4 linked regions of the Notamacropus eugenii genome follow. The protein of the gene in region 2 interacts with the protein of the main gene of each other region in a biochemical or structural test. Links are inferred from orthologs where the notes say so. Each region holds a gene or a part of one and is shown on either strand. Other genes may lie near its edges.

Region 1 (7,830 bases), on a different chromosome or scaffold from region 2:
TAGAAATTAGTGACCCCAAAAGCAAAAGGTAGATGGCTAATAGTTTAATGTGGCTGAGAGAATGGTACTCAAGAGGTAAAGAGTCATGAGTTCAATGATAACTAGTAATAATAGCTGGCTTGAAGGCCTACAAAATTCTTTATATATTATCTCATTTGTTCCTACAGCAAGTACAGTAGCTACTACAGGTATTATTAACACCATTTTACAAATGGGCTCAAAGGAGTTAAATAACTTGCCCACAATGACACAACTAGCAAGTGTAGCAGGCAGGATTCAAACTTAGATGTTCTTAACTCTTGAAGTCCCACACGCTATACCATGTTGTCTTTCCAGTTCAAGCCCCAAATTAGGCAATTAACTTTGCTCTTCCACTGACAGTATGGACCCCTAGCACAGGGGATTCATCTCCTAAAGGCTCTCCTTAGTCAGTGGTATGTCGGTAAATGTTTAACAACCATTTCTCTGGGGGGATGGAGGAAATGTATTCACAACACACTTTTAAATTTAATCTGCATTACTAACATTTTCTCCAGCACTTTCTTAAATCTAGACAATCAACAAAACAATAAATCAAGCCCTCATTTGTATCATTTGCCAATTTCTGAGGTGTAAATGTCATTGCATTGAGTCCAAGCTTGCTCCAACACACCCTGCCTTTAATCCAGTCAGAATACCAAAAGATACCTCTTGCCTAGGTATTATGTCCCTCAGTCACAAAAGAGACCAGTTAAGAATATGAGACCGTCAACACTGAACCATTCTCACTACAAAAAAAAGCCAATTCTTGGAGCACCAATCCTTCTGATGATAAGTCAGTAGTGTCATCTTTCTATACTTTATAAGAATAAAGCAGCATGTATTACTTGGCAAAATACAATTACAGAATTATACAGTAGCTGTCAACAGCGATTCCTATACTAGGAGGCATATAGGTTTTTCATAATTTAAAAGAGCAAATTCTATATAAACACTTGACTTAAGAAAAAGACTACATAAATTAACATCCTACTGAATTGTAATTATGAAGAATGGAAGACTCATCAGTTACAGAAAACCAAGGTGACTACTGCCTCTAACTTAGCCCTCATCACAGGATTAATTTCTGATAACAGTCCAACAGTAAAAGAAAAATTTAATTACAATTTTAAAAGCCTACTTGAGTAATGATGGAGTATAATGGAAATATAAGAGAACCCGTCATATTTCACCATCTTGACTACTTATTTTATCCAGGCTATCAAACAAAACACTATATTCATGTAAATTACAGCTGCAAAAAAACTTTGTAATCTGATTTGGGGGTAGGATCCAGGAAGTGTGTGCGTGACTTTCATTACTATTTTTTAAAACGACGCTGTTAGCCTGGTGCCAGTGGTCATCTTCTTTCAACTTTGATGTTTAGCCTTTGAGTTTAATCACTCAGAAATGCAAGCTTTGTACCAGTGGATCACAGGCTCTGTGACACTGAGAGCATCACTCAGTGCCTCACTGCTTCCTCAAGGAATACATACATGTAGATTTAAAAATACATATAGTGGCCAAACCTTATAACAGAAGAATGTAGTTCATGGATAAATGTTTCAATCAAGAAATAGCAAGAAATTTGGACACAGATTCTTAAAGTCTCCCAGAAATGCAGTTCATATTTCCAGATGAATAAAATGTTAGTGTCAAAACAGGAATTTTTACATAGTTGAGGCTGGCACCTTGCTCCAAAATCCAAATGATGATCTGTGAAGGCACTATATCTTCATTTATTTTCTCTTTAATACAGTAAGATACCAAAAGAAATGCCTTCTTTACAACTATTTTTAATTTTCCCATTAGTTATTGTTTTCCCTCTCCAAAACCAAACCAAAAAGATTTAAGATTAGCTATGTACACATCTAAATAAATAAAATGAAAAAAATCAGCATATGTTCTATAGGCCTTAAAAGTCTTGTGTGCCAAACACATTAAAAGAAAATAATAAAGAGCTGTTGTCCAATTGTGGAAACAAAAAAGTAATATGGGGTTTTCTGCTCTCTAAAGTGCATCATCAAGTGTGGGTGGAGAGAAAGAGAATCTAGAATTAGAAGAACACCAAATCATTCTAGAAATAATTGACAAGGTGTAAATTCCTCATACACAAAGTATTTAGAGCAGACTTTGATTACTAGGCTAGGATGCCATTTAAATCCTTGCAAGGGATAAGGGATCACCCTAACTCCGAAACCTTGAGGTCAGATTTTTTTCAAACGAATAAGTATTCATTATAATCTGAAGCAATTAGGCACTGAGTGATGCTCCCAGAGTGACAGAGCCTATGACCGCTGGTACAAAGCTTGCAGTTCTGAGTCAATTAAAACCCAAGGCTAAACATCAAATTTGAAAGACGGTGACCACCGGCACCAGGCTAATAGTGTCACTTTATAAAATAATAAGGATAGTCACCCAGACACATTAGCTGGGATCATGGGATCATAGTGGAAAAGAATGGGAATGGAAAAAAAAGCCAACATAATATTTGTCACCACATCTCATTTCCTACACAGGATATAGCCAAAGGCTCCAGCCCCATTACCCTAGGCACAGATGTTTATCATTTACTGCAAAGGTGCTGAGAGGCCTTCGGATCCGAGCTCCTGAACACTACAGTTTATGAATAGAGTTGGGGGGGGGGGGTGGTCGAGACTGGAGAATTCATCCACCCCACCCCCCACTGAGGCACGCACCCCAAAGCTCTTACCTGGGGCACATTATCCCAGTAGCTCCAGTTCCCTGACACACACCCAACCCCAAAGGGTCCCGGCCCCCTTTCCCCATCCCCCCACCCCCGCCCAAAGCCTTAGAGTGGGGGCTGGGGGGGTGGTCAGGACAAGGGGGGTGAGGAAAAGGTAAGTTTCCCGAGCACCAGGTGACTAGGCACAACGCTGTCCTCACAGCCACCTCCAGGGTGAACAGTTAGGACCAGCCGTCGACCCATTTCCCCCCCACAGCCGCCCCCCTCAGCTTTACCTCACTACTCCCCCTCCTCACTCCACCCAACTCACAGCTGCTCCCGAGGATCCTCCAGCCCAGCCAGCCAAACCCTTTCTGGAAACGACGGCAGCCCAGAGGGTCCAAACCACCTACCATCTCCGCTCGCGTTCTAGTTCCCTACACCACCGCCGCCGCCTCCTCCTCTTCCAACACCGCAGCCGCCTCCTCCTCATCTGCAACACCACCAGCGGCGGTCGCCCGGAGGCCCCGCCTCCTCCATCTCCTCCTGCATCATCACTTCCGGTAACCCCGCAGCTCTGGGAGGGAGGGCCGAGGGAGCAGGAGGGCAGACTGCGGAGTGACGCACGCAGAAACGTGCGAAGCTGTCGCCAAGTAAGGGCAACGACCCGACCTTCTCACCTCCTCCCCGTCGGGGGCGGGGTGGTGGAGGAGGAAATCGCCTGGGCGGAACTGGACCAAACCACAGCGTGGTTAGGTAGGGGGTGGGGTCAGACGCGAGATGGGTACTGGGAGGAAGAGAAGGAAGGTGAAAAGATCGATCGTATTTTTAGCGGATACGCCGAAAGGTAAATTTCGCGGCGGGTTGAGGTCTGAGACTCAAGCCTCCTCTTGTCTATGAATGATGCTCCCCACCTATGTTTCCTCAGATGGTTCGGTCCCACCTGGCCTAGAGGGCCAGACCCCGGTGTGTCCCCATCGGCTCCGGAGGACTGCCGACACGCCCTCCTCTCCTTCTCCGCACTGTGGGTGGGGGGGCAGGCGTGATGGACACAGCGTGAGTGTTAAGAAGTGAAGGTGGTCTACTCTGGGCGATGGAGATCGCGGTTGGCTCGCTAGGGCTGGAGGCAGGGGAGTGGGGTGGGAGCCGTGGCTTGGTGCCGCGTTGCTAGGATACATGGTGGCGTGTCCTGCCCCTCCCCCTAAAGCCCTCGTGGCCCGTGGGCTCGGGCGGCAGCCATTTCCCCGGGGTCATTTACCTGCGCGGATTTTATCCAACCGCCCTCTGCTGGTGAGGGTGGGGGTGGGGATGCGGGGGTCTCTGGGCCGGGCTCGGACCGCCAGTTATCCTCTTCCTTCTTGGCCTCGTAGCTGCTTGGACGCTAGGGCCTAGGGACGCCTGGGCGAAGGGCCGTGAGCCGCTGCCCTCCGGGAGCGTCCACTCTGCGGAGGCGTCGCTGCGCGGTGCTGTGTATACTGTCTGGCGGGAGTGGTGGGGGCGGGGATGACCCAGTCCGTGAAGGAAATGCGGCGCTGGAGGGATAGCTTGGAGCAGGTTTGGGGGAGCGAGTGGCGCGGGAGCTGAGCCCCATAGGGACAGAGGATTCCCGGGGTGCAGACTGGGAACCATCCCGACGATCCGCCTTCCTGGAGCTTACGGGCCGCGGCGGGGAGGGGGGTGTGGAGCGGTCCTAAGTGACGAGACTGGGAGTTGTGCCGAGTCGCTGAGCCGCTTCGGTCGTGTCCGACCCTTCGGGACCCCTGTTAGGGCTTTGTGGCCGTTTCCTTTCCCAGCTCATTTTATGGAAGAAGAGGCTGAGGTAAAGAGGGTTAAGTGACTCGTCCAGGGCCGCACAGCTAGTAAGTGTCCGAGGCTGGATATGAACTCGGTGCTGCCGGACCCTTGGGAGTGATGGAAGGTGAGGAGCCAAAGAAACCCAAGGCTAGCCAGGGGAGGGTTTGTGAAGGTCACATCGAAGGTATCGTACTGACGGGGGATGGGAGTGCGTCCCAATTGTGTGCAGTTTGGGAAGGACAGTCTCAGCCCTGCCCTCCAGGAGCTCACACCTGGGAAGTGGGGAAGGCAGCAGAGTAGACTTGTGTGTCACAAAATTGGAGGTGGGGGGATGGAGGGCGCCCAATGAAAGAAAGAGTGTTTTAGACCAGGTAAAGGTGTGTGAAGGACCACCTGAATTGAGCCTTGAGGGCAGGGAGAGAAAGAATTCATCTGGTTGGAGAATTACAGTTGGGTGGAATTTGGAAAGTGCTGTCTGTCTCCAAAGGCTGGTCAGGTTGACAAGCATTTGTCAAGCAGGTTTGCTGTGCTAAGTATTGGCAATACAAAGGAAAGAAAAAAAACAGTCCCTTTTCTCAGGAAGCTTGCAGTCTAATCAGGGGAAAATGTTCAAACAAGATATATACAGGATAAACTGGAGATGATGTACAGAGGGAAGGCACCAGCATTAAGGAGGATCAGAACAGGCTTCTTGTGAGATGTTGGGATTTTAGCTGGGACTTTAAAGAAGCCAGGGAAACCAGGAGAGGAGATGAGATGCGATGAGAAGGGAAAGCAATTCCAGGCTTGAGGGACAGCCAGTGAAAACGCACAGTCATGAGGTGGAATGTTTTGTGTGCAAGTAAGTGTAAGAAGACCACTGTGACTGGAGTGGAGTGTATAAAGAGTTGTAAGACTTGTGCATTAGAAAGACACATTTTGATGAACTTCAGTTGGAAGGGGGAGAATGGGAAAAGGAGGAATATTGCAGATTGGAAGAACAATAAGAGGCTGCTAAATAGTGTAATTAAAAAATGAGCACCCTAAAACTAGGATCCTAGAAGCTTAGTACTGTGAGAAGGACTTTGGAGACCATCCAGGCCAGGATGATCTTAACCTTTTTTGTTTCCTTGTACCCCTTTTGGCCATCAGGTGAAACTTGTAGAACCTTTCTCTCATATTTTTAAATGCATATAGTAAAAGATATAAGAATACAAAGGAAACCAATTATGTTGAAATATAATTATGACATTAAAAAAAGTTTAAAAGGGGGGTTAAACCCCTCTAGGGTGACCCCTTCATAAGGAAAATTAGACTTTGAGAGGGGATGTGACTTGCACCACATAGAAAATGAAAGAATCAGAATTTGAACCCAGGTCTTTTGACTACATATCCATAGAAAGGGTGAGTACAGAAGAGGGCATAAATGTGAGGAATGACTAGACAATATTTGGCAACTGATTGGAAATAGAAGATGAAAGAGATGAGAAGGAAAGATTTTTGGGTGACTCATCTTCAAAGGTTTCATTCTTCCAAAGTGACTGGAAGAGTAGGACCACACCAACAAAAATAGTAAAGTTAAGAGCAGGAGCAGTTTTGGGGAGAGAAGATAAGTTCAGTTTTGAGCATATAAAGTTTGAGGGGCCATGGTACAGCACATCCAAGGAGAGACATCCAAAAGGCATTTGTAAAGTATGAGAGCATGTCAAGAAAGTTACTGGTCTGGGTATTTAAGATGGTCTTGGCCAGAACCTTTAATCTGGTTCTCTTCCATCCCTAGTCATGGTTCTAGATCTCTCAAGTAGCTGAAACCAATATATACACTGAGGGAGATTGCAAGATTTCATCCTGTGGGCCTAGTTTAGCAATGGCCACATCGCTATTCCTAGAAGCAGAATAATTTAGTTTATCTGTCAACTAGAAATCAAGGAGCCAGTGCTGTTTTATGGATGTTGCTAAGTGCCTTAATTTTTGATCCTAGCAAAAATTGAAATCCTCCCTGTAGATTGAGAGTAGTGATAACAAGGTCCCAATTTTCCTGTTTGTTGGTGATGTAATGAACCTAAAGGAATAATAGGAAAAGCTATCTGTACTCATTGCTTGCTTCCTCACTCTTCATTCCTTAACTCCTTGGTAAGCTGGTTTCTAACTCCATTTTTGCGTAGTTCCCCTACACAGCCAATTTCTGGAATTCCTAGCTCCCTTCAAGCTTCAACCTGAGAGGCCCCTCTTCTCCAACACTTCCTAATTTTTTCCTCAGTTATAATTGCTCTTCCTTTCACCACTTCATAATTTGTATTTATCTAGAATTCATTTTGTATTTACTTGCTGTGTCTCTGTTATTTCTACTCCATAGAAAGTTCTTTGAAGGCGGGAAGTTTTTTCCTCCTTGTATACCCAGCGTAAGACTATGCCTTGCACATAGTAGGCACTTACATGTTTGTTTAGGGCAAACGTAGCACTTGGCACCTTAGGCCCCATAAAGAGAGAAGGTGACAGAAATCTCTCATTGAACAATTAAATTCAGGCTCATAGCCCACAAGAACAGTGTTGTCCTGTTTGTACCACCTATGACAACACATGAGAGTCCAGGAAAGACAGTTTGGCGTTTCCTGTAGGTCAGAGCACAGCTTATCATGTGGTGATTTATGGTCAGTCTGTATGTGGACATCCTTGTCGTCATGTGGCAGACAGAAATCACTTAAAATGCATTTAGTGAATCAAACATGTTTGGAATTTATAAGCTAATTTAAGGAATCTTTTTGAAATGACAGAAACTGTGTAATACCTTAGCTGTATTAGAAAGTTGAGTTGCATGCTAAAAAAGTCCCAACTCTAGTAATATAACTAAAGGCTTTTTGTCAGTTTCACACTTAACTTTGCTAGACAAATCATTACAAATGAAAGAATTATATTAGTGTTTGTACTTCCCATCTATATTTCCTAGATTTCAGAGAAGGCCTTTCTTATTTGACCAGTATTAATTATATCCTGTTTATTCACAGTACATTTCTTTAGTTCTAAAGCACGTGGATTTGATCTTTAACTTTGGGCTAGCTTTCATCTGTTGGTGGCTAGTTCCATATTCTATTCAGGATAACTGTTCACACCTGACTACTGCCTTTTCTTTCCTGTAATGTGCCATTATGGAAAATAACTACTCCATTTATTTTGAATCTGGGACCCAGGTTCTGTTTTAATGTAAATTTCTCTCTCTGGGAAAATCAACTACTATCCAGGTTACAGTAGCCTGATTGGAGAACTCCCCAATACATGCATAGTCTTGTGTGTGTAATAGAGAAATCCATAACATTTGAAACTGGTACATTTATTTGCTATGATTGAGATGTATC
Region 2 (8,174 bases):
TCTTACATCTGAACTCTCTAGGAGTAATGAAGTTAATTTGAAGTGAAATTCTGAGACCTTAAAGCCCCAATTTCTATTAATTTACGACTCCAGTCAAACTTGAGATAACAGATTTAAATAAGACCACAAACATTTTCTCTACAGGTATTTCTATTCATTCGCTACTTCTGACTTGTGACTCCAACTTTAGCTTTTCAAGTAGTAAAAGCTGCTAACCAAGAAGAAAAGTCGGTCGAACTTTTTATACCAGAAGATAAGTAAGTCATCAGCAAAATACATTATAATAGAGGTACTTATCTGTAATTAACGTGTGGCCACCGGTGCCACACTAACTAGGAACTTAAGAACTAGATATTGATAAAGAACATTCTTTTAAATTACAAGTGAATGTGTATGGAAATTGAATATTTATGAAGCACAATTGTGATATACTTGAATAAACACCAATGGCTCCCAGTTCAATGGCTCCTAGTTACAAAGTATAGTTTATATTATATATATTATATTATATATATTATATTATATTTTATATTATATATATTATATTATATATAGTTATATATAGTTATATATATAGTTATATAGTACAAAGAATAAAATATTCCTTAAAAGTCCTTTGCAACCTAGCCCCATCTAACCATTTACAATCTTATTTCACACTACTCTCCTTAAAGTAGACTACAGTCCAAGCAAACCAATCTTCTCGCTGTTCTATCACACAAGGAGCCTCATCTCCCTTCTCCAAGCTCTTGCACTCCCTCATCAGAACTCTAGCTACTTTCAAGGCACAGCTTAAGTGCTAACTTCTACTTGAAGCATCTCCTGATCCCCAAGTTACATTTAATGCCATTCTCCAAAATACAGTCTTTAAAAAAAAAATCCAATTTGTATATGCTTATAATGCTAATGTTGTCTCCCTTAGCTAGATGTTTAAGCTCCTTGAGGAAGGGATTTGTTTCATTTTTGTCTTTGCAGTCCCAGGATCTAGCAAATAGCAGACATTTAATAGAGTATCTTTACTATAATGAGACCATGATGGTGCTGTAACTTTTGTTTCAAGCAACAAGGCAAAAATCTTGTTAATTAGCAATATTCATACTCTTCTGTTAATGCAACAGCTGAAATTTAATGGGGAGTGCTAAAGTAAAAACAATAGGTTCAAGATTTGAACATGGTCAAAGGTACCAGAGGCAAAAGGGAAGTAGGAATGTCAAACCAAGTTTAATCCTAACATAGATCTGTTATAAACATGAATGCTGCTGTATTTTAATAATATATCTGAATACAAGTTAAGCTGGAAAACTGTACTATTTCGTACAAAAATCTGACATATTGTAATGACTTTTATATTAAAATTAAAAAGCAATTGCTTAGATAATCCTGAGGATTTATTTTAAAAAAAGGAAAAAATTTAAATATGCAGTAACTTACTGAACTTAAGACCTGATCAATGGAAATGTTAGTACACTACCATTTTTCTCTGAAGGAAAAGGTGCTAATGAATTCCATCAAAGACTGTTACTGAAACAGTAGAAAGGAGAGTGATGTTTAGTTAGGAGATCTGGGTTCAAATCCCTGCCTTTTACCACTCGGACCCATGGGAACTTAGGCAAACAGCTTCTCTTCTCTCTGGGCCTTGGTTTCCTCCTCTGTAATAGAAACTTAGACTACAAACTCTCCAAGCCCCCTTTCCAATCTGTCAGTACAACCAGGATCTTACTCCAAACAATAAAGAAGGCTCCCTTGCTCCCTTCCTGAACTGTCAGTCAGCAAAGCTCCTTTTATCCACAATCAATGGCTTTCCTTCATTGAGAATGTCACCATCTCTGCGAATCTCAGTTTTTTCATCTGTAAGGTGGGGATAACACTTGCCCTACCTACCGCACAAGACTGACATACACTTTCTAAAGTAGTGCAATACAGCCTAATCCCCTAAACTTTCCATAGAGCTATCTCTTCTCGGCCGCCTCCCCATACCCAATTTTTAACTGCTACTACTGCATTTTCCAAGTTCAGGAGCAAGGGTTCTCAAGTTCTCCGGCACTTCTCCTACCAAATCCAAAAACATGAACTTTGTTTATAAAAATCAAAAAAAGGAACTTACAACTCTTGTTCATATCACGTCATACAATAAGCTCTTTTCTTACCGGAACTTAAACCGAACTTCTCTCCCTCGTTACTCTGCCTCCATGCACATACCTTGAAAAGACCCAATTCTTAACCCCTACTCTGCTGGAGTTTCGGTTACCACAGCTTTGCGTTCAGAAACCTCTCTGCCAGGCAGGTGCCGTCTGTTTGTCCCGAGCCCAGCCCAAGGTGCCCGGGCCGGGTCTGCGGGGCCCGGGCGCGGTGCAGGAGGCCGGCCTTGCCGGGCCGGTGCGGCGCCCCGGGAGGAGATGCTCCGCGGAGCCGCAACGTGGCCCCCGGGACACCTGTCAGCGGCCGCAGCGCCTTCAGCTCGCGGCCCGAGGGCTCCGCAGCCTCTCCCGCACTTTCCTCCCCGAGCCGGGCGATGCCCCTTTCAAAGTTCACACACACACGCACGCACACACACGCGCGCCCAGGCTTACAATGAAGCCCCGCCGGGAGCCCCCGTAAGAGCGGGCAGGGGCGGCCGGGCCCCCGGGCCTGCAGGCGGGGGGCGCGCAAGCACTCGGGGGCCGGCTGGGCCCGGCCCTGCAGGATGGGCTGCCAGGAAGGGGCCGCCCGGGGGCGCCCCCTCGTCGCTGCCCGCCCCCGCGGGGCACCCCCTCCCCCGAGCTTCCCCCGTTGCCGGGAAGGTTCCAGCCCCGCGGCCCGAGGGGCGGCGGTGGGGGGAGGGGGAAGCGGCCGGCCCTGCGGCCTGTTGGGGGGAGTTCAGCCCGGGGCCTCGAGTGCGTCTCTCGGCCGGGCCCCCGGCCCCTCGGCCCCGGGCGCGGAGGAGAGACTCACCGGAAAGGCCCGGATCCGCATCTTGGTGTCCTTCCGGCTGCCCGTCCCTTTGCTCAGATTCGACATGGTTCTCCTCCTCCTCCCCTGCTCCTCCTCCTGCTGCTGCTGCTCCGGCGGCGGCGGCGGCTTCAGGTCGCGCTCTGGGGCGCCCGTGTCACATCGAAGGCGGGCGGGCCGGAGAGGCCGGCGGCTCCCGGGATAGGGCGGCGAACGCCGCGGGCTGGGAAAGGGGGAGGGGGACGACGGGGGTGGGGGAGGCGGCCGGACCCCCGCGGCCCCGGCCCCGGCTCCGGCCCCGGCCCCGGCTTCGACTCAGGCGGCTCTGGCTCCGGCTCCGGCCCCGGCCCCGGCCCGGCCCCGGCGGCTGCGGCTCGGCCTTCCCTCGGGGGCTGCGCTGTCGCGGCGGCTCCGCGGGGCTCCCCCTCCCCCCGGCCCGTCACTCGCGGCTAGGCTCCCTCTATCGCGCTCCTCCGCGATGGCGGCGGCGGCGGCGACGGACAAACATCTCACTGCGCAGGCCGAACCTCCGCCTCCTCCTCCTTCTCCTCCTCCGCCTCAGCGAGACAAGATCCGGCCCAGAGGGTGGAGGGGGGAGGGAGGGAGGGAGGAGAGCCAGAGAGTAAGAGAGATTGGGGGAAGGGGGGTAGGGGGTGGGACGGGAGGGGGAGGCGGCCGCAGCGTGGGGGGGAGGGGGAAGAGGGTACGCAGATCTCGCGAGAGCGGCTCGAGGCGGAGCGGGGTACGCCGCTGAGGCGGGCGAGCGGGTTGGGATGAGCCAAGAGAGGAGGAGGGATGGGGGCGGGGGGAGTCGGGGGGAAGTGGGAGGAGCCTATGGGGCGGGGCGGGAAAGGGAAGGGGTTGAGGGCGGGGAGTGGAAAGCTACGTCCTCGAAACTGGAGAGTCCGAGACCAGGTTCGGGGTGGCGGTGCCTCCTGATTGGTGGAGAACTGAACGAGGTCCTGGTCACGTGGAAGTGGGAGTAGTGGCCCTGTTTGTGGTGAGGCGTGAGATCCTCGTTGTGGGCTCTGTTGGGGAGACCGTAGTCCTTGGCGGGGAGGGAGCGTCCCAGCTCTGAGACTGTTTTTCTAGGGCATCCTGGAACAGGATGAACCAGTGGGTGGGAGACAGGAGGACGTACCTGCCCTGCTGTCAGCTTGGTGGGGGTTGGGAGTGGGGGTCAAGCCAGAGCTGCCTTTCCAGGATGAGACGGCCAGGTGACCCCTCCCTGCGGGCTCACCGAGGCAGCGCGCGGCTCCAGGCCCCGGAGTGCGGGGAGCGGTGCTCGGGGCCTGGCGTTGACCGAAAACAAATCGTCTTCAGTTACTGTAGCAAATTGAGTCATGTCAATTTCCTTAACTAAGTGCTAACCAGGCAGACATAGGGGATCGAGTTGTAGACGCACGATGGAAACTACAGTTTAAACTATTGAGATTCTGTTCACAATTACTTATAATCTTTAAAATTAAACATTTTAAATAATTTTTCTTTAGTTAGCTCTTAAGGTTTGGGAATTTTGTCTTGGGGTTTGTTTTTTGGTTATTTTTGGTATCTCATTCAGGAGCTCCACCAGGGTTGATTCGTTGGTTTTACTTTCCAATTATAATCAATTTTGCTTCCTGGTTTTGTTTACTTGCCTAACTGCTCTTAAATTTGCAAAAAGCTCTAGAAAAGGACTATTTAAAGCCCCTCCGAAATTCAGATTTGCACATAGAAAACCTGCCAGTGTTTTCTGCAGCTTGCTTTCCACTTGAAAACATTGTCTTTGGTTCCTTTTGAGATCAGACCTGTTTAGGGAGCTCATGTTTTTTGGAGGATGAAGTTACCTCAGGTTAATGAATTCATTGAGTAACTAAACTACCGGGTGTTGTGCTTTCAACCTTACTTTGTTGACTGGTCTATCGTCATGTTGCAAAAAAATTGTTCTGTTTTATTATTGTTTGTGCTGGTGTTCTTTGCTAATCAAAACAAAGACGAGAAATGAGGATGTTGCTTGAGGCAAGTGTGTAACTACTGAGGCTAAATATAGGTCATCTGAGAACTGGAACAATGAGGTATGATTGGGAGGGGTGCCATGTAAGTATCATAGGCTCTTATGGATCCAAGGAAGAAACTGAGCATACTGATGCTAATTAAGTTTACCTTTTTAGGCCTATTACGTTATACCAGCAATCAGTATTTTGCTATTGACTTTACTGTATGACTTCAGCAGCACACTCCTATTTCATTGGAATGCCTTTAGATCATTAGCACCAAAGTCAAAACTACCTTCCCAGCTACATTGTGCAAGGCTGTTTCTAGAAATTTGCATTTAAATCCAAATTTTGAAAATTGACCCCTACTTTAAATATATTTGGGAATCTCACTATCCAAAGGAAGTATAAAGGAATCCTTTTGTAAAAATGAAGTCACCTAGTTTGTTTTGTAAATCCAGATTTTCATATTTTCTTTCTGCTTAAGCTGGACACAGTTATAGTTCAAAAGACCTTCTGTTGCTTGGGTCTACATATGTATTTTTGGATCTAGAATAACCAAAATAAGTTGTCATAATGGGATAGCTTGTCCTTTCATTCGTAGTAGAAATCCATCACCTTCTCTATATCTGGATTCTTTGCTTTTGGGGCAATGGGAACTACTCTTCAGTACAATTTACGTAAGAGTCTAAGAAGATAATGAATTTGAAGGCTTTTTTCTTCTATAGAAAAGTAGCACATCATCAGATTATTGAAAATGCTTTCTAGTCTTAGTACTTCCTCTTACTCAACCCATTCCTTGACCTCTACATCAAAAGCTTATGGGTGCTGCCTTTTCTGTGTGTAGATTCCTAACCCAGCCGAGAAAGCAGAGCAAGGAGAGTAGCTGCCAAAATCTCACATGCTTGCCAACCTATATTTTTGTTCATTCTGAACATGCACTGACATTGGGAAAATGACAGCCCCGTCTACCAACATATAGAGGACACCCGCAGAATGTGCTGAGTTTCCTAGCTACTTCATCTTTGGTCTTTAAATGTGCAATCTGGGGTTGGAAAAAAGCATGTAAGAGGAAAAGATCCTTGTATCAAACATGTCTACTAAACAACAGAGAGAGAAATCTGTCAGTCTTAAAGATGGTCGGTTAGTGTTTTAAGCCATCTTAATAACCACTTGGCCAATGGCAAGTCTGATTTGATGGGACAGACACTGGTCTTTGTAAGATAACAGAAAAGCTTACAACTTAACCAAAATGAATTGACTTGTAGAGTTCAAAGGGATCAGATAAAAATTCTAGCCCCAACCTTTCAACTCTTAAAACTTCACTTTCATTATCAGCAATGTGGATACTAGTAAAGTTAAGCACCTGCCTGATAATTGTGAGGAAAAAGTGTTTTAAAGCTCTATAGAAATTTGAGTAATCATCTGACTGACTAGAAAACAGTAGCACTCAAGACTAGAGGCCAGGTTTCTTGTCTCTGAATTAGATCACCTTCCACCCTTCTTTCTTGACTATCTCTTTAGTCAGGGCAGCTAGGTGGTGCAGTGGATAGAGCACCAGTGCAGGAATTAGGAGGACCTGAGTTCAAATCTCACCTCAGACACTTGACACTAGCAGTGTGACCTTAGGCAAGTCACTTAACCCCAATAGCCTCATCCTGGGTCATCTCCAGTCATCCTGAAGAATATCTGGTCATTGATTCAGATGGATCTGGAAGAGAAGTGAGGCTGGTGACCTGCACAGCCCTCTCTCACTCAAAACAAAGTCAAGGGCAAGTCATGTCATTATTTCTCTGATGGCATGGTCTTCTTTGGCAACGAAAGACAAACACACACACCTCTTTAGTCATTACAAATAACAGCTAGCATTTACATAGAGAGTGCTTTAAAGTTTTGCAAAGCTCCCTGGGATGTAGGTGCTATTTTTTATCCCTACTTCACAACTGAGGAAACTCAAGGAGAGGTTCAATGACTTGCTCAGGGTCATATAGCTAGGAAGTCTACTGTCACATTTGAACCAAGATATTCCTGACTCATTGTCCATCACTGTATTCACTGTGCCACCAGCTGCTTCAGAAAAAACAGCGTGTGATTAGCTTTTGCATAAACAAAATCAATGCATCCAGACTTAAAAAAAAAAGTCTGAGCAGGGGCGGGGAGAGCCTTTGCATCAAAATCTGATATCTAATATTTATAACAAATAAACATAAACATATAAGACTAGGTGCCATTACCTAATAAATAGTTAAAAGATATGAGCAAATTGTCTTCAAGAGAAATATTGCCAATGTGATAAAATGGAGAGAGTGTTGAATTTGGGGTCAGAGGACATGGGTCACACACCAGGTCTGTCTGTCTGTACTATATGGGTGACTTTAGACAAATCACCACACTTCCTCTACTTCAGCTTTCTCATCTATAAAATGAGTGAGTTGATCTCTAAGGTCCCTTCCAGCTCTTAAATCTAGGATACTAAATAGCATCAACCATATAAAGAAACACACATTTTAAAATCCCAGATTTCACTTCACATCCCCCAAAGTAGCAAAGATGTTAAAAAAAGGAACCCATCAATGACAGGGGCCTATGGGAAGACAGGCAAACGAAGACACTTTTTTTTCTTTTTAAGATATTTCATTGGTGTTTTTTGACATCATTTCTCACTGTTGGTAGAATTGTGAATTAGGCCAACTGTTCAGAAAACAATTTGGAATTAAGAAAAATTGATTAAATTGTTTTTACATTTTGATCTAATAATTTCACACTACTGGGTGTATACACATACACACACATATGTAGATGTATGTGCATACATAGGGGTGTGGGTGTGTGTGTGTATGTGTGTGTGTGTGTGTGTATACACATATATTCCAAGGAAGATAAGAGAAAAAAGCCCTAAAATATATTTATACACATATATCTAAATATTACTATATATGCCTATTCATAGTAGCACTTGTTAATTACTACCCCAATCAATTATAGTTATGCAAGTAGTAAATAGTAAAGTTATTACAGATCTGGTATACTTTTTAAAAAGTTACATTTGAAAAATTTTTGGTTACATTTTAAGTGCCAATCTGTCTTTTTTTCTTTTTTCCCTCCCCCCCCATCCCACACTAGAGAAGGCCACCATTTGAAAAATATTTAATTTATATTTATATGTGTGTATATATACACATAAATACACATATAACTTAGAACCATGCTATGCATACATACTTCTGTATATCAGTTCTTTCTCTTGGGGTGCATAATGTCTTCCTAGGTCTT
Region 3 (7,986 bases), on a different chromosome or scaffold from region 2:
GGAAAGTAACTGTCCTCCCTCCCACTTCCAGGACTCTCCATCTCCCTCTGCCCCCTGAAAATGCTATTAAAAAGTGACATGATCGAAGGCACACTCATATATATGCTCACACACATACACACACACACACACACATTCACATGCTATCAGACTCACACGTGGGCACACACACACTCTCTCTCATGGGCACACACAAACAAACCACATACACACATACACACACACGTAATTGCACCACTGTGGTACAGCGGGAAGTCAAATTCAATCCTAATTCACTTCCTTACCACAGGCAAATCATGTCTCTGGGGCTCAGCAGCCTTATTTGTCAAATGGAGAACATGGTCTAGATAATTTCTAAGGTCCTTTTTCTGTAATAGCCTAGCCTAGACTAGGTCTCTGCACAGAGTTTGTCTCAGTTATCCATCTGTAGAGTCTAGTCAGCAAACATTTTTAAATGTCTCCTCTGTGCCAGACACTGTGCTAAGTACTGAGGATACAAAGGCAAAGGACAAACTGCCCTCAAGGAACTCTCCATCTGGTGGAGGAGATAACACGCCAACAGCTAGGTACAAACAAGTTCTAGACAGCACAAATTGGAGCTTATCATAGAGGAAAGACACTGGCATTGAGGATGCCCAGGAAAGACCTCTTCTAGAAGATGAGAGTAAGAAACCAGGGAATGGAGGCCAGGAGACTGAGCATTGCAGGTGTGAGGGATAGCCAGAGAAAATAGTCAGAGTCAGATGGAAGGATTATACTGGATTGCACAATGGGGAGTAAAGTGCAAGTAGAATGGAAAGATGGGTAGGGGTCCAAACATGAAGGACTCTAAAAGCCAAATGAAGGCTTCTCATTTGATCCTGGAAATAATAGGAAGCCACTGCAATTTATTGACTGGGGGCTGGGGGGGCAGTACGTGGTCAGACCTAGACTTTAGGAAGGTCCATTTGACATTTGAATGGCAGATAGACTGAAGTGAGAAGAGACTTGAGCCAGATACCAAGTAGCAGGCTACTACCATAGTCCAGAAGTGGAGTGATGAGGGCTTGGACTAGTGTGGTGGCAATGTCAGAATAGAAAAGGGGATACATATAAGAGTAAAAGAGTCTAGGATAATATTTTTCCCTGGGAGGTCCAGGGAAGGCATAAGTATTGAAATTGGGGTCTTGAAAGGGACCTTAGAACTCACTGATTCCAGACCCCTCATTTTACAGATGAAGGAAACTGAGGCCAGTATGTGACTTGCCCAAGATCACAAATACATGAAAGAGGCAGGATTCAAAGCCAGTGCCCTTTTCTATAACTTCCATTCTCAGAGGAAATGATACCCTTCCTGATACCCTGTATTTGTAGTTTGCCTTTACTTACCTACATACTCCTTTCTATAGAGCCCAGAGGTGGAGATACAGGAGGCATTTCACATTTAAGCCTTAGTTAAAGCCTAAAACCACACTAAGACTTTTGGTACTCCCTGTATTTCCATTTTACAGAGGAGGAAACAGAAACATAGAGGTTGAGTGACTTGCCCAAGGTCACAGCAATGATCATCTACTTTGCCTGGACTGCAGCCCGGATGTTCTGATGCCTCCTGCTCCCGGGTTCTTTCCACTGTCTCCTTCTAGGGCAGACGTGGTTTAGAATTCCTGGCTCTGCTACTAATTATCCGTGTAATCTTAGGCAAGTCACTTTCCCAAGGGAGGACTCAGTTTCCACTTCTGTAAAACTGAGAGAGATAGGTGGACTGGATGATCTGATCAGAACTGGAAGGGACCTCAGAGGTCACTGAGTGCAATCCGCTCCAGACTGGGAAGGTGAGGTCCAGGCAGATTAAGTGACTGGAATAGGGATCACACCCGTAGCTACCCTCCGAGGTGGAACTGGAACTCAGGACCCCCGACTCCTGCGCTAATGCTCTTTAAAGATTCCTTCCTGATTCGGATCCCATCACTGAAGTCTTCCTTACTCCATCTTTTGCCCGAGATCTCCTGTAGCAGCTCACTGGCCCAGGCTGACTCCTCCTCCGCATCCCTCCCCCCTGCAAAAACTGGGGAGAACCAAGCTCAGACACTTGCGAGTTGGTAGGTGTTTGGCAAGGCCAAAAAGGGACCCAAGCGCACCCCCGCCCCTTCCCACATGCACTTACTCACTTTTTCTCTCAGAACCTTCCCCACTCAACAGCTCTGGGGGAGAGGAGGTGAGGGGGGGGGGGGGGGCGGGAGGTTGGCGGAGGGAGGAAAGGAGGAAGGAAACAGCTTGAAGAGGAATGAGCTGCTTTCTCCCAAATGGTCTGGGGCCTCCTGCCAGGGACAGGGTTGCCATGGAGAAGGAAATAGCATGCCACTCCCCCCAAACCCCCACCCCAGCCCCCAGCCCTGGCTTCCTAACGATTCCCCGCCTCCGGTTTCAAGTGAAGAGGAAGGGAGGAGGGGTTATGTTATTGTCCTGGGCCGGTGGGTGGGTGGCAAGGGGAGAAGGGGGGCTCCCAGCTGTGGGCTGCGGAGGCAGAAAGGAGGCGCCTCTCCCAAACACACACACACACACACACACACACACACACACACACACACACACACACACACACACACACACACTCGTTCGCCTGAGCACACTCACAGAGGCGCGCCCCCACAGCGAGCAGCGCCCGGACCCGCAGCCCCGCTGGCCCAGCCTTACCCGGTCAGACTGGAGCTCCTCCCCTTGGCAGAGACGGCTGAGGAAAGACTTCTGCTCGCGGCATAGCGTCTGCCTGGTGGTCAGAAAGATCGTGCCCCCCACGTTGAGCCTGACCCACTTGCCCCAGCTGCCCGGGGCACGGGCTGCGGTTCCCCCAACGCCCGGGCCGGTCGCGGGGACAAGTGGCGGCGCGTGGGGCCCCCGGTCCCGCTCCGCCGCCTGCACTTCCCCACCCGCTTCCATCCTCATCTCTCTGCGCTCCTCTTCTGTATCCCTCCCCCTGCAGTCCAAGTGGAGGAGCCCTGGGCAGGTGTTGGGCGCTGGAGGATGCTGGGAGCTGTAGTTTGCTGGAGGCACAGAGCGAGGGGGGCTGAATTAGCTGGGCTTGGGGGGAGGTGGGACCTGGAAGTGGAGAGAGGAGGGATGCCCAAGAGGACCTCATCCATGTGGTGTCCTTGCCTTACCCGCCTCATCCAGTTTTGTCCATTCTAGAGTCGAGGTCTTCATGCCTGACTCTTGGCCATCCTGGCTGTGATGGATACTTGCCAGCCAAACCCCCACCTCATCTGGGCCTCAAAGTCAAGCCCTCTCTAGGCTGATCTTTACACTGAGGCCCTGAAGTCTTCCCTAAAGGCTAAACCTTTCTCCCCCACCAAAAAAAAAAAAAAAATCTCCCTAAGGAAGTATTCCTTTACACTCATCCTCCCACTTAATTTAGCAAGCTACTCTTTTGGTTTCACCATTATCTTAAATACACACAAGCGCGCACACACACGCACACACACATACAACATTGCATCGATGGCATCAGTGGAATTTTTTAATTTGGCTGAAGCGCTTCTACTTTCCCCCAGCCAAGTAGGCAGCAAATCACCTTCAGGCCATACCAGGGAAAGATTGGATGGAATCCTCAACTTCTGTGCCAGGCAGCTTCTGGCAAGTAAAGACAGAGATGACATCATAGAAGGAAAGAGCTAGAAAGGACATTTTTAGAAACAATATAAGATGATAAAATGTTAAAACTGGCAGGAGCCTTAACACAGAGAATGGTAGATTCACTTCAGGGCATTTTAAAAGGTAAAAAATTGGAATCTTCTCTGGAGCAGCTTGGAGTCATGGAGGAAGAGCCTGACGCTCTTATGCTGGTGCTAGACCATTTCATTACATCATGGTGGTTGAGCTGTGCATTTTTGGAAGGAGAGCAAAGAAGAGGGTCAGAATTTCCTGAGACTCCAGCCTCCAAAAAGAATGGTATCTTAGGTATAAGGTGATCAGCTTGATTTGTCCAGTGGTATTGGGTTTCACACCAAAGAAAAATGTATTTCTCTCTTCTGTTTAAGTTATTGAAATTCTGTATGAGACATTGAAAAGGAAACGTTATATAGTTCTTCAGAGCCATTATGATCTCCAAAGGAAAGAAGTATGATACACTGCTGAGGTGTTTTGAGGTGCATCAGAAGTGTACCAAGTCATGGATCATTTTAACATGTTCTCGAAGTACCATGGCATTGAAGGAAATTTGGTGACCAGTCCAATCTTAACAACTCACTAGGGAAGCAATTTGAAACTATCTAAAGGTATGAGGTGATGAAACCGTACTAATCCTTCATGTAAAAGCTGCACAAAAGTTTTATGGAAATGAAAAAAGGGGGTTTTGTTCTCCTCGTTGTGTATATCTTACGGGCAATGGATGGAAGGGAAAAAAAAGACCAAATGGAACATGATGGTTCTTCTGAACACGAATCTCAACCATGTGCATTTATTGGAGCAGGAACTAGGGACCACAAAATGCAGTAGCTGAATTTGGAAGGGAAGAATTATTGCACAATCAAAATACTATATGTATCTGATTTAGACAAGTGAAAGCATTTCATGTCATCTGTAAAGATATTCAATGGCAGAGGTGAGGAACTTGTGGTTTCAAGGCCCCATGTGGCCTTCTAGGTCCTCCAATGTGACCCTATGACTGAATCAAACTTCACAGAACAAATCCCCTTCATAAAAGGATGTGGTCTACAAAACTTGGACTCAGTCAAAAGGCTGCACCCAAGGACCTAGAAGACCATAGGTAGCCTCAAGGTCAAAGGCTCCCCACCTCTGCTCTATGACAACAGTGAGGACATTGGTGAGCTCCTCAGTAAACAGATCAAAATCATCTCCAATGCTTGTAAAAAAAAAAAAAAGGATTAATCATTGAAAAATGCTGGCTTATGCATAACTTCAGGAACAAAAGTGTCTTTATTTAGTTGACTTCGATCACAAACAGCACCAGGTATTTACACATAGAAAGAGGGAATTTCCATGCTACCTCGTAATAGTGGGGAGAATTTTATATTCACCTTTCGGATGATAATGAATCAGAAGGAGAAAAATTCACAGTGAGAGGAGCCTATATCTTTAGGGATAGACTGTCAGACTTGTGTGTTCAGTTACAGGCATGGCACTCCCAAGGCTGATGATTCCAAAAGTTGATGAACAGACCACAATGCTAGATGCAGATGATCCGATGTCACAGCTACATAAATGTTCATCTTTTCTTAAGGATACAGAAAGAATGTATTTGTGCCTTTCCAAAGAGACAATAATCCAATTTCAAGCTACCCCATGCCTCCCAAAAACCAAATAAAGAAATGAGAAATGTTGGAGCTTTGTGGACAATCCTTAGTACAAATAAGACAGAATGCACATTGTATGAGGGAGTAGGACCTGTCCATGTTCCAGTAACACCTATGAGATAGTCTTCAATTGAATGGTGGTGCTAGAACTTACAGGACAGAATTTCACTCCAAATTTACACATCTGGCTTGGGGTTGTGGAAGCTAAAACTATGTACATATGTGCAGAGAACATGCTTTATGTTGTCCAGACATTTCTGCCTTCCCAGAAGACTGGAGGTGGGTTTGTCAGCTTGTCCAGGTCCTAGTAACTGTGGTTGGTAATGACGAAATAATCTATTCTACCAGCCTGACCTTTACAATGCAGCAGAAGCAATCCTTCAAGTCACTTCAAGTCTAATGGCCACTAAGGAATTAAACACAAAGGGTGAGGGAAGTCATGCAAATATCAGTTACACTAAACAATGTGACATCATCTACAGCAACAGTCATCTCCTAACTTCTGTGGTCGCCTCAGACTTATCCTGACCTCCAGTGCTGCAAAGGAGAAAATGGAACAAGCTTTTGTGGCTGCTTGGGAAAACTACCCATTCTGATCAATCCTCTTTGAGCCCTGTTACTATAAGTGCTGATTTAGAAAAGCAGAAGCCACAATAAAGAAGTCAAAAAATTAAAATATTAGACTAGAAGAGACATTAAAACAATGCTGTTCATCCTTCATTTTCAAAGAGGACCAATGATATCACAGGCAATGCTTTGACTTGTGCATGAATTGGATTTAATCAACTGACAACTTTTCAAAACTCTGTCTCACTTAAATTCAATTCACGCACAAGTCAAGTAAGTTAAGGGAGGCAGAATTTCCCAAAATCATTGGCCTTACTATGTCTTCCTGAGTCATGGAAGTCTAGTGGCACGATAAAAGTCACGATGACTGTTGATGGCCCAGGATTCATTGGATGACCTTGGTGTCTTCGATGTCTGACCAAGTTCCAAGCACTTCACAGTGCCTTCCAAAAAAGTAACAGGTTATCTGGCTGCCCTCAACGAGTACAACTTAAAAGGTGTTTTTTTTTTTTTACAGAATCAGCAGTTAATGTCAGTGATTAAAGGACGATAGAGGGTACACATGACACCATAGGACTGGAGAAAACACAGAAGATGTGCTAAAAACAACAACATAATAATAACATAATATTAGTTTTGGAAGGAACTTGACAACATAAGAGATAGACGAAAGGAACCTTAGAACAAAATGTCACAGCTGGGAGGCACTTTAGAAGAGAAGATGTTCTAATTTTAAAAAATCTAATGATATTCTAATGTCTAATAAAATATGACACTTATAAGAAGCCTTAGAATATAGAATTTTATAGCATAGAATGTAAGAGTGGGAAGAAGCCATAGAACAGACCACCAATATTGAAAAATTTACTTCACAAAGTAAACGCAGGATGCACAAATTTGGGAAATCCACCCCAAATATTCACATGGACTATCTGTGGTAGAGCATTGCGAGCTCATATTGGTCTGATCAGCCACAGTCGGACACACTGAAATTTCACTTTATCATGGTGATGTCATTTTGGTCCTCTTCAAGAATGAAGAACAACAACCAATATTGAAAAGGACCTTTGAATGCTGAAGATTTGAACACAAACTATCCCTGAAAGGGACCTTAAAACAGAGAATGACACAACATAGAATGATAGAGTTGAAGAAACCTTGGAAAACAGGATCTTAAATCTGGAAGGGACCTTGGAATAACCTGCAATGTCAGCCTTGGAAAGAACTTTAAAATGTAGAAAGTTTGACCTGGAAGGGACCTGAGAACTCCTGAGGATATCAGAATGTGTAAGTGACATCCAGAGCGACCTGTTCATTTTGCAGATCCAAAGTGGCACCATGGTCTATGGTGGAAAAAACACAGGCTTCACAGTCAGAAGACTGACCTGTTGGTTTAATTGGCCCAATTGTTTAATAACTTTATAGCCATAAGCAATTTCCTTATCCTCTCTGCCTCTGCCTCTCTGCCTCTCTCCTCTTCATCAGTGGGTATAGTACTATACCTTTCTGGGCTTCGCTGAAGAAAGCCCTATTGAAAAATGAGCCATCGTTATCTCTGTGGTTTCATCCATCTCAGAATCTGATGGGAAGCTATGAAAAACTGAGACAAAGGTCAGATGACCTACCCCCTGGCTCACATAGCTATTAAGTGACTCTGCAGGAACTGGTACCCAGGTGTTTGGATTCCAGCTCCCAGGCTCTTTCCTCTACATGAGCTGCTTCTTTAGGGAAGAGAGCAAAGAATTGCCAGAGAGTCTTCATTCATTCTAGCAATAGCAACCTCCTCCTCAGACCTGTTTCAATACCCTGGAAGAATCTTTTCTTCTAACTGTGAAAATATCTGGTGGGGGAAGAAATAAGAGGATATTAATAGCTAACATTTACAGAGTGTGTTAGAGGTTACAAAGCACAGATGTAATCTTTTTTTATCCTTCCAATAATCCTGGATGGGAGGTACCATTCTTATACCCATTTTACAGATGAAGGAATTGTGACTGAAATTAAGTGACTTCACCAGGACCACACAACTAGCAAGTGTCTGGTAGGATTTGAAGGCAGGACTCTAAAGCAAGTGCTCTGTCTGTGGTGCTAGCCAGTTGCAAGATGCTAGGAAGTGTTTACAAATTGGATG
Region 4 (7,950 bases), about 220 Mb from region 2:
TGTTCTACATTATTTTTCTTAGTAAATTTCATCTACAGTACTTAGATTTTATTTCATCAACAAATATTTACCAAGTAGTTCTTTATGCATCACACTATGTTAACAGAAAACAGCATGAATGTACTGAAATAAAAATTATCCCTAGGAATCAAGAGAGATGAATCCTAGTCCCAGATCCACTCCTAAGTAGTCAAATGAACTTAAATTACTTAACCTCTCTGGGTCTTGGTTCCCTAATCTATAAAATGAGTGGGGATGTACTAAAGATATGTAAAGCCCTTGCAGATAAACCTTTCCACAATCAACAGTACTTAGAACTTTTGTCAGTCCTTTGTCTTCCATCTCCCCTCTGGACTTCCATTTGCTTCCCACGCTACAATTAAAGTAACTTTCTTCTGTCATCTCCATACTTTATGTTATGCTAGTTTTATGAATGGAACAAAAAAATGTAAAATTAATTAAGTCATTCCTATCACTTAATTACCTTAAGACTATCTTTTTGGAAGCCCGGCTTATTAAGGCTAAGTAAACAATTAAAATTACTAATCAATTCAACGGTGAAAGCAGCGGGTCTCCTTACCTACCATTGGTGAAAAGGAAACATTCAGCCTACTAAATATATTAATAGAGAAAAAAGATACTTTTTTAAAACAAAAGACAGTGCCTGTTTTTATCCAGCCTCAAGCTAGCACACATACTATACTTGAAAAATTAACAATAACTATAATTTCATTTTATTTTCTTCTTGCCTGTTTTCTCCTCAAACTGATCTTCAGTAGATGGCCCCCAAAGTAAGAGCTTCTACAATGACCGTACACGACAAATGTAATCCAAATACCTTTTAACATTTTAAGGACTGCCGATGTTGTTGTTGGCTTTAAGAAACAAATGCGAACCTACTAGACCTAGTCTGACATTCCCGGACGAAGATACGCTAACTTTAACGCAAAGGAGTCCCCGCGTTAGAACCGCAGGTGGATCCTCCGAGGAGCAAAGCTGCCAGCCACAGGAGGAGAAATCCCGCAAGTCAGAAAAGCCGCCGTGCATTCTGGGAGTCGTCTCCACAGCTACCCACGTGCATCCAACCCAACCGTGTTTTGGCACAGCCAAGACTACAGCTCCCATGATGCCTGCAGAACCCACCTTTCCCTTCAAACCCCGTGGCTGCAACTAGAGCCTAAAGTATAGCCCTAAAATTCCTCCGCCCTTCACCGAAAAAGGCACGAGGCTATTCCGGCCTCAGAGGGGGCCCTACGGCCAGTCAGGTCATGGGAAATCCAGCCCCATTAAACATTAGAAAATGCGTCACAAGTCGAAGACCTCCCGGGACCCAGAAACTGCCCCGCCACGAAAGCAGCCTGCCCAATTGCCCCCCGCCCCCCGGGGCCGTCACCGCCTCTCCTGGGTTCCCTCCTCCCCAGCCCCCCGCAAGCCTCATCCTTCCTCCTCTCCCGCATTACCCTAGGTCACAGAGAGTTGGACCCCTCCCCCGGCCGGGGGCCGTCCCTCTTCACCCCACCTCTTCTCGGGGCATCACCTCAGCTCTCCCATTGGCATGCCTGGGTGCTGCCGACCCTGGCCCGGCCTCCAGCTGGGCCAGCTGCCGGGGTCACCAGGCCCCTAGGGCGTGGGGGAGGGGAGGATAGGGGAGGGAACCCCTCCCACCCACTCCCAAAGACCGGGCCGGAGAGGCCAAGTTCGATCCCGTACACCGAACTGGGAACACCCCCCTAGTCATTCTCGACGACCCCCTCCCGCCTTGCTACCCCAACCCCACGTACCCCTCTACCACCCAACAAACCAACCCTTCCCCTCCTCCATACAGTTCCCGTCCAGCTCCTCAGCTTCCCCATCCCCCCCCCATCCCCAACCTTCTTCTCTCCCCTGCCTCCCTCAGTGGTCCAGCCTCTCCCCACCCAACACACCACACCACCACCACCCCCCATTCCCCAGGCTGCTTCCCCATCCCCCATCATACCGTTCTTCCCTAGAACCCCGCCCCCTCGTGCCGTTCTCCGAGTCAGTCCTGCCCCTTCCTACCGTTCGAACCCTCCCCACACAGTCCCCCGGTCCCCATCCCTACATTGTTCCCCCTCCCCCTCATATTGTTCTGTCCAAACCTCGACCCTCCCCACGCAGATGCCCAAACTCCTCAAGCTATCTTGCCCCATTCCCCTCTCTTATTATCTTAACCACACAACACACAAACTTCAGCACTCCCACCCCCCTACCCAGAGTCCCCCCTACCCAGACTCCTTCTGCTGTCGAGCCCCTCCCCTTCCTAGGGTCCCCCCTACCCAGACCCCTTCTGCTGTCCCCCCCAACTCGCTGATTTTATCTATCCCTCACCCTTCAACACCCCCACCCGCATATTTTGCCTTCCCCAACACACCACCCTCATTCGCCCCCCACACAGGTGTCCTCAAGCCATCCGTCCCAATACCTTCCTCCTCCTCCCCTTTATTACCCACAGGCTCCACCCCTCGCCCCCGTTAAGGTCCTCAGCCCCCAGCCCCATTCTCGAGCCCCATTACTGCCCTCCTCCACCAGCACCACTCCCCACAAGCTACCCTCTCCAGGAGCACAGTACCTCCCCTCCCGGCCTTAATGCCCCGCTGTCATCCCCGCCGGGTCCCCTTTACTCCCGCACCTGGCCCCCCAACTCCCCAAAGAAAGCCAGCCCCTCCCCCTCCCCTGGCGCCCTCGCCCTCCCACCCCCATCGCCTGGATGCCGGCCTGGGCGCGCCCTCCCCCCCTCCACCGGACTACCCGCAGCGTCACGGCGGGCAGTCCCCCGTGAGAGGGCCAGGAACCCGGGAGGCAGTTACGGAGGTGGTGGGGCAGAGGGCTCCGTCGGTGTGGGAGGGGAACGGCTGGGGCCGGCGGAAGGTGCGGGGGTCCGTCTCCAAGACCGGGCGGCGTCGGTCCGCCCCCTGTCCGCGAAGCTCGTCACCCGCTCCCGGCCCGTTACTCACTGACAGCGGCAGCATCCGAGTGCATTTTCGTGCAGCTCCTCCACTGCTCCCGCCGGCCCGGCCTCAGCTCTCCGCCTCCCGAAGCCCCCGCCGGCTCCAGCAGCTCCGGCTCCTGGCAGGGTACCCGCCGTGGCCTCAGAGCCCGCCCCCCGCCTGCCCACCTCGCCTCCACCATTGGCTTTCCGACAGGCCCGGACCGCCCCCTCTGCCACCATTGGTGGATGGTCGAGGCGAGGGGCCGCTAGATGGCGTCCGAGGAAGGAGAGTAGGCCCCACCCCTCAGACCCAGGGCTATTGGCCCCTGCGACCGGTCCTCGCCCCAGCCCCCGCCGGAGGCTTCCTGCGCCACTAGCCGGTTGGACCCGGCGGCTGTCAATCAGCCCAGGGGCTCCGAAAGCGCGTGTAAAGGGGCAAGGCTTGGGGGACAGGTTGCAGTAGTCCCCTCCCCCGGGTCCCCAGGCTAGGGATTGGTGGAGAAACAGGCAGCACACGGAGAGGGGCTGGCCTCCGAGACAAAGCCCAAGAAACTGTCCCAAAAGAGCCAGGAGGGGCGGGGGCCATTAGGACCGCCCCCTCCCCTCGGCCTGAAAGGGATGGGAAGACGCGAGTCAATTCCGTTTTATCTGAAAACTCAGCTCCTGGCCTTATTCCCTCTGTCCATCCCGGGCTCCTTCCACCCCCTACCCACCACCCCGCCCTGTCCAGTCCTCTGCCCAGCCTTTTGCCCTGGGGGCGCCTTGGAATCTGGGCTCGGACCTCTCCCGGAGACCTGCAGCTGCCCCCGGGCAGAGCCGGCAGTTCTCGGTGGGCATTGCTCTTCCCAGGGCCAGGCGGAGGGCCCTCTTAAGAGCCCCGAGTCTGAAAAGCTGTGGTTTCCCGTTTGTCCCCGAAGTCTCAGACCTCATCACGAGACAAATCTGTCTTCTCCCGAATGCGTGGCACACAGTAGGCACTTAATAAATGCTTGTTGGTATGACCTTACTATTACCTCTAGAACCAAGCATATCCTCCATTGTTGGAGATTTTAAAACCCTTGACAACCCTGCCTTTCTAGCAGGGGAGGGTCCGGGAGAGTCCTGTCTGACTGGCCTTCGGGTTGTTCAGCATACCCAAGCATGCATCGCTCCTCGAAGGTGTGGATGCCCACCAGCGGCTAGTGTTTTCCCTCCAAAACTAAAGTGTCAATTTTGAACCCATAAGAGGTTGGGAATGAGCATGCACTTGGTTAAGTTCCCCGACAAGTACTCGAACCTCTCATTCAGGGTGCTGGATGTAAGTAGGTTCTGTCTCCTACAGTGCTGGACTGTGAGCTCCGGGGGGCAAGCAATATCTCAGGTTTAGCTTTGTGTCCCCAGCGCCTAGCAGGGTACTGGATGTAGAGTAAGCCTAACAAAGGTTCGGTTGATTTTCTTGTCTCCCGACTCAGATCTGGCAGCCGGGTGGCCCAGAATGTCGAGCCTGCAGTCAGGATGACCTGAGTTCAAATACAACCTCAGGCACTAGCAGTGTGACCCTGAGCAAGTCACTTAACCTCTGCCTGCTTCAGCGCCCCCCACTGTAAAAGAGGGATAAACTCTGTAAAAGGGATAGGCTCTGTAAAAGAGCCTAACTTGAAATAAGACTTGTAAAGCCCTATCCCGTTTGCTGTTCAGTCGCATCTGACTCTTCCAGACCTGGTGGAGCACCGAGAGCCAGGCCCTTCTGGACTCCACCATCTCTCCAAGTCTGTCCAAGTTCATGTTCCTTGCTTCTACGACACAATCCATCCAATTCATCCACTGCCATTCCCTTCTCCTTTTGCCTTCAATCTTTCTCAGCATCAGTCTTTTCCAATGAAATCTGTCTTCTCATTAGGTGGCCAAAGTGTTTAAGCTTCAGCTTTGTTATGTGTCCTTCGAATGATGAGTCAGAGTTAATTTCTCTAAGTATTGATGGAATTTATCTTCTTGCCATCCAAGGAACTCTCAAAAGTCTTCTCCAGCACAATTCGAGAGCACTGATTCTGAGTAGTTCTGAGTTTTCTTTTATAGTCCAGCTCTCACAGCCATGCATGAGTACTGTAAAAATCATAGCTTTGACTATGTAAACTTTTGTCTCCACTTTTTCCTGTCCAGATTTGCCATAGATTTCCTTCCAAGGAGCAAGGAAGTGTCTTTTAATTCCATGGCTGCAGTCACTTTTTTATTTAAGATTTACATTTTTAGTTTTAGTTTTCAACACATTTACACAAGCTTTGGAGTTCCAAATTTTCTCCCTATCTTTCCCCTCCCTCCCCCCAAGATGGCATGCATTCTGATTACCACTCTGCCCTCCCTTTTATCATCCTCCCCTCTTATCCCCTTCCCCTTTACTTTCTTGAAGGGCAAGATAGATTTCTATACCCCATTGCCTGTATGTCTTATTTCTCAGTTGCATGTAAAAACAATTACAATTAAACTTTTGTTTTTAAGACTTTGAGTTCCAAATTCTTTCCCTTCTTTCCTTTTCACCCATCCCCATTGAGAAGGCAAGCAATTCAATATAGATTATACATGTGTAGTTATGCAAAACTCCTCCATAATAGTCATGTTGTGAAAGGCTAAACTATTTCTCTCCATCCTATCCCACTCCCTAATTATTCTATTTTCTCCTTTAACCCTGGTACCTTTTCTAAACTGTTTGCTTCTGACTAGCCCCCCACCTCCCTTCTATCATTCCCCCCTAATTTTTCCTGTAGGGTAAGATACTTAATTGAGTGTGTATATTATTCCCTCCTTAAGTCAAATCTGATGAGAGTAAGGTTCACTCATTCCTCCTCACCTCCCCCCTTTTCTCCTGCATTGTGAAACCTTTTTCTTTCCTCTTTTATGTGAGATAATTTACCCCCCATTCTATCTCTCCCTTTCTCCTCCCAATATATTCCTCTCATCCCATAATTTTATTTTTAGATATTATCCTTTCATATTCAATTCACCCTGTGTCACCTGTCTACCTATCTGTTTCCTCCAACTACCCTAATACTGAGAAAGGTCTCATGAGTTACAAATATCTTTCCATGTAGGAATGTAAATAGTTCAGCTTTAATAAGTCTCTTATGATTTCTCTTTCCTGTTTACCTTTTCATGCTTCTCTTGATTCTTGTATTTAACAGTCAACATTTCTATTCAGCTCTGGTCTTTTCATCAAGAATGCTTGAAAGTCCTCTATTTCATTGAAAATCCATTTTTTCCCCTGAAGAATTATACTCACTTTAACTGGGTACATGATTCTTGGTTTTAATCCTAGCTCCTCTGACTTCCAGAGTACCACATTCCAAGCCCTTCAATCCCTTAATGTAGAAGCTGCTAGATTTTATGTTATCCTGATTATATTTCCACAATATTCAAATTATTTCCTTCTGGCTGCTTGCAATATTTTCTCCTTGATCTGGGAACTCTGGAATTTGGCTACAGTATTTCTAGGAGTTTTCCTTTTAGGATCTCTTTCCAGAAGTGATGAGTAGATTCTTTCCATTTCTATTTTACCCTCTAATTCTAGAATATCAGGGCATGACAATTTCTTGAAAGATGATGTCTAGGCTCTTTCAAGTAGTCCAGTAATTTTTAAATTGTCTCTCCTGGATCTACTTTCCAGGTCAGTGGTTTTTCCAATGAGATATTTCATGTTGTCCTCTACTTTTTCATTCTTTTGGTTCTGTTTTATAATTTCTTGACTTCTCATAAAGTCATTAGCTCCCATTTGCTCCATTCTAATTTTGAAGGAATTATTTTCTTCAGTGAACTTTTGGACCTTCTTTTCCATTTGTCCAATTCTGCTTTTTAACATATTCTCCTCATTGGCTTTTTAAACGTCTTTTGCCATTTGGGTTCATCAATTTTTTAAGGTGTCAATTTCCTAAGTATTTTTTGAGTCTCCTTTAGAAAACTGTTGACTTATTCTTCATAATTTTCTTGCATCACTCATTTCTCTTCCTGAACTTTTCTCTACTTCTCTTACTTGATTTTCAAAATCTTTTTTGAGCTCTTCCATGGCCTAAGACAAATTCATATTCCAGGAGGCTTTTGATGTAGGAGCTTTGACCCTGCTATCCTCTTCTGATTGTATGCCCTGATCTTTCTCATCACTAAAGTAAGATTCTATGGTCTGAGGTCTTTTATGATGTTTATTCATCTTCCTAGCCAAACATTTGATTTTCCTCTGTCAAGGTAGGACTCTTCTTCCCGTGGGGGCGGGTGTACTGTCCCAGGCTTTAGGGATTTTGCATCAGCCTGCTCGATCCCCCACCATCTGTGGACCCAGAGTTCCAGAAGCAGTTACCATGGCCCTGCCACCACCCCCAACCACCCTGGGGCTGCAACTGGAAGGGTCAAGCCAGAAGACGTGCTTCTTTTTCACCCAGGTCCCACAGAGTTTTCCCACTGACCTTTATAGCATTTGTGGATTGAGAAGTCTGAAAACTGCCATAGTTGCCAATGATTCAGTCCCCAAAGACCTGCTCTGGCCTGTCTGTGCCCATGTGGCCCACATTGTACTACACTCTGCTGCTCCCTGTCCAGTGCGAAAGATCCTTCCTGTCAACAGACTGCCTTTGACTGGGTATTTGTTTCACTCTGTCATTTTGTGGGTTCTGTAGCTCTAGAATTTGTTTATAGTAATTTTTTTTACAGGTATTTAGAGGGCTTTAGGGGAGAGCTCAAGGAATTTTTTGTTTTTACTCTGCCATCTTGGCTCCACCCTATAGTCACTTTCTGCAGTGATTTAGTCACTGCATATAAAATTTGACACCATCTATTTCTTCTGTTTGCCAGGAAGTAATGGGATCAGATGCCATGATCTTAGGTTTTGGGGGTTTTTTGTTTTTATGTTAAGCTTCAAGCAAGCTTTTACATGATCTTCTTTTGCCCTCACCAAGAGTCTTCTTAATTCTTCTTCAGTTTCTGCCATCAGAGTGGTATCATCTGCATATCTGAGATTATTGATATTTCTTCTGGCAACC

What was found.
Region 1: the proteins of CUL3 (region 2) and DCUN1D3 form a complex in vitro, tested with the Homo sapiens proteins (3 studies listed by BioGRID, with this or other methods). The link is inferred for Notamacropus eugenii from reciprocal best matches to the Homo sapiens genes CUL3 and DCUN1D3.
Region 3: the proteins of CUL3 (region 2) and KCTD17 form a complex in vitro, tested with the Homo sapiens proteins (3 studies listed by BioGRID). The link is inferred for Notamacropus eugenii from reciprocal best matches to the Homo sapiens genes CUL3 and KCTD17.
Region 4: the proteins of CUL3 (region 2) and DCUN1D4 form a complex in vitro, tested with the Homo sapiens proteins (2 studies listed by BioGRID, with this or other methods). The link is inferred for Notamacropus eugenii from reciprocal best matches to the Homo sapiens genes CUL3 and DCUN1D4.

The regions. Positions count from the first base shown.
Region 1 is NC_092874.1:398,219,069-398,226,898, reverse strand, and holds the start of DCUN1D3 (DCN1-like protein 3), read right to left. Parts: upstream 3,217-7,830; 5' UTR 3,118-3,216; intron 3,102-3,117; exon of another isoform or gene 3,036-3,101; intron 2,758-3,035; exon of another isoform or gene 1-2,757. Other genes in the region: LYRM1 (LYR motif-containing protein 1), read left to right, coding at 3,605-3,760. UniProt on the Homo sapiens protein: Contributes to the neddylation of all cullins by transferring NEDD8 from N-terminally acetylated NEDD8-conjugating E2s enzyme to different cullin C-terminal domain-RBX complexes and may play a role in the cell cycle progression by regulating the SCF ubiquitin E3 ligase complex, after UV damage.
Region 2 is NC_092877.1:323,403,388-323,411,561, forward strand, and holds the start of CUL3 (cullin-3), read right to left. Parts: upstream 3,159-8,174; 5' UTR 2,998-3,158; coding exon 2,932-2,997; intron 1-2,931. UniProt on the Homo sapiens protein: Core component of multiple cullin-RING-based BCR (BTB-CUL3-RBX1) E3 ubiquitin-protein ligase complexes which mediate the ubiquitination and subsequent proteasomal degradation of target proteins.
Region 3 is NC_092874.1:294,156,306-294,164,291, reverse strand, and holds the start of KCTD17 (BTB/POZ domain-containing protein KCTD17), read right to left. Parts: upstream 3,048-7,986; 5' UTR 2,923-3,047; coding exon 2,674-2,922; intron 1-2,673. UniProt on the Homo sapiens protein: Substrate-adapter for CUL3-RING ubiquitin ligase complexes which mediates the ubiquitination and subsequent proteasomal degradation of TCHP, a protein involved in ciliogenesis down-regulation.
Region 4 is NC_092877.1:103,461,338-103,469,287, reverse strand, and holds the start of DCUN1D4 (DCN1-like protein 4), read right to left. Parts: upstream 3,213-7,950; 5' UTR 3,151-3,212; coding exon 2,976-3,150; intron 1,721-2,975; exon of another isoform or gene 849-1,720; coding exon of another isoform or gene 839-848; intron 1-838. UniProt on the Homo sapiens protein: Contributes to the neddylation of all cullins by transferring NEDD8 from N-terminally acetylated NEDD8-conjugating E2s enzyme to different cullin C-terminal domain-RBX complexes which are necessary for the activation of cullin-RING E3 ubiquitin ligases (CRLs).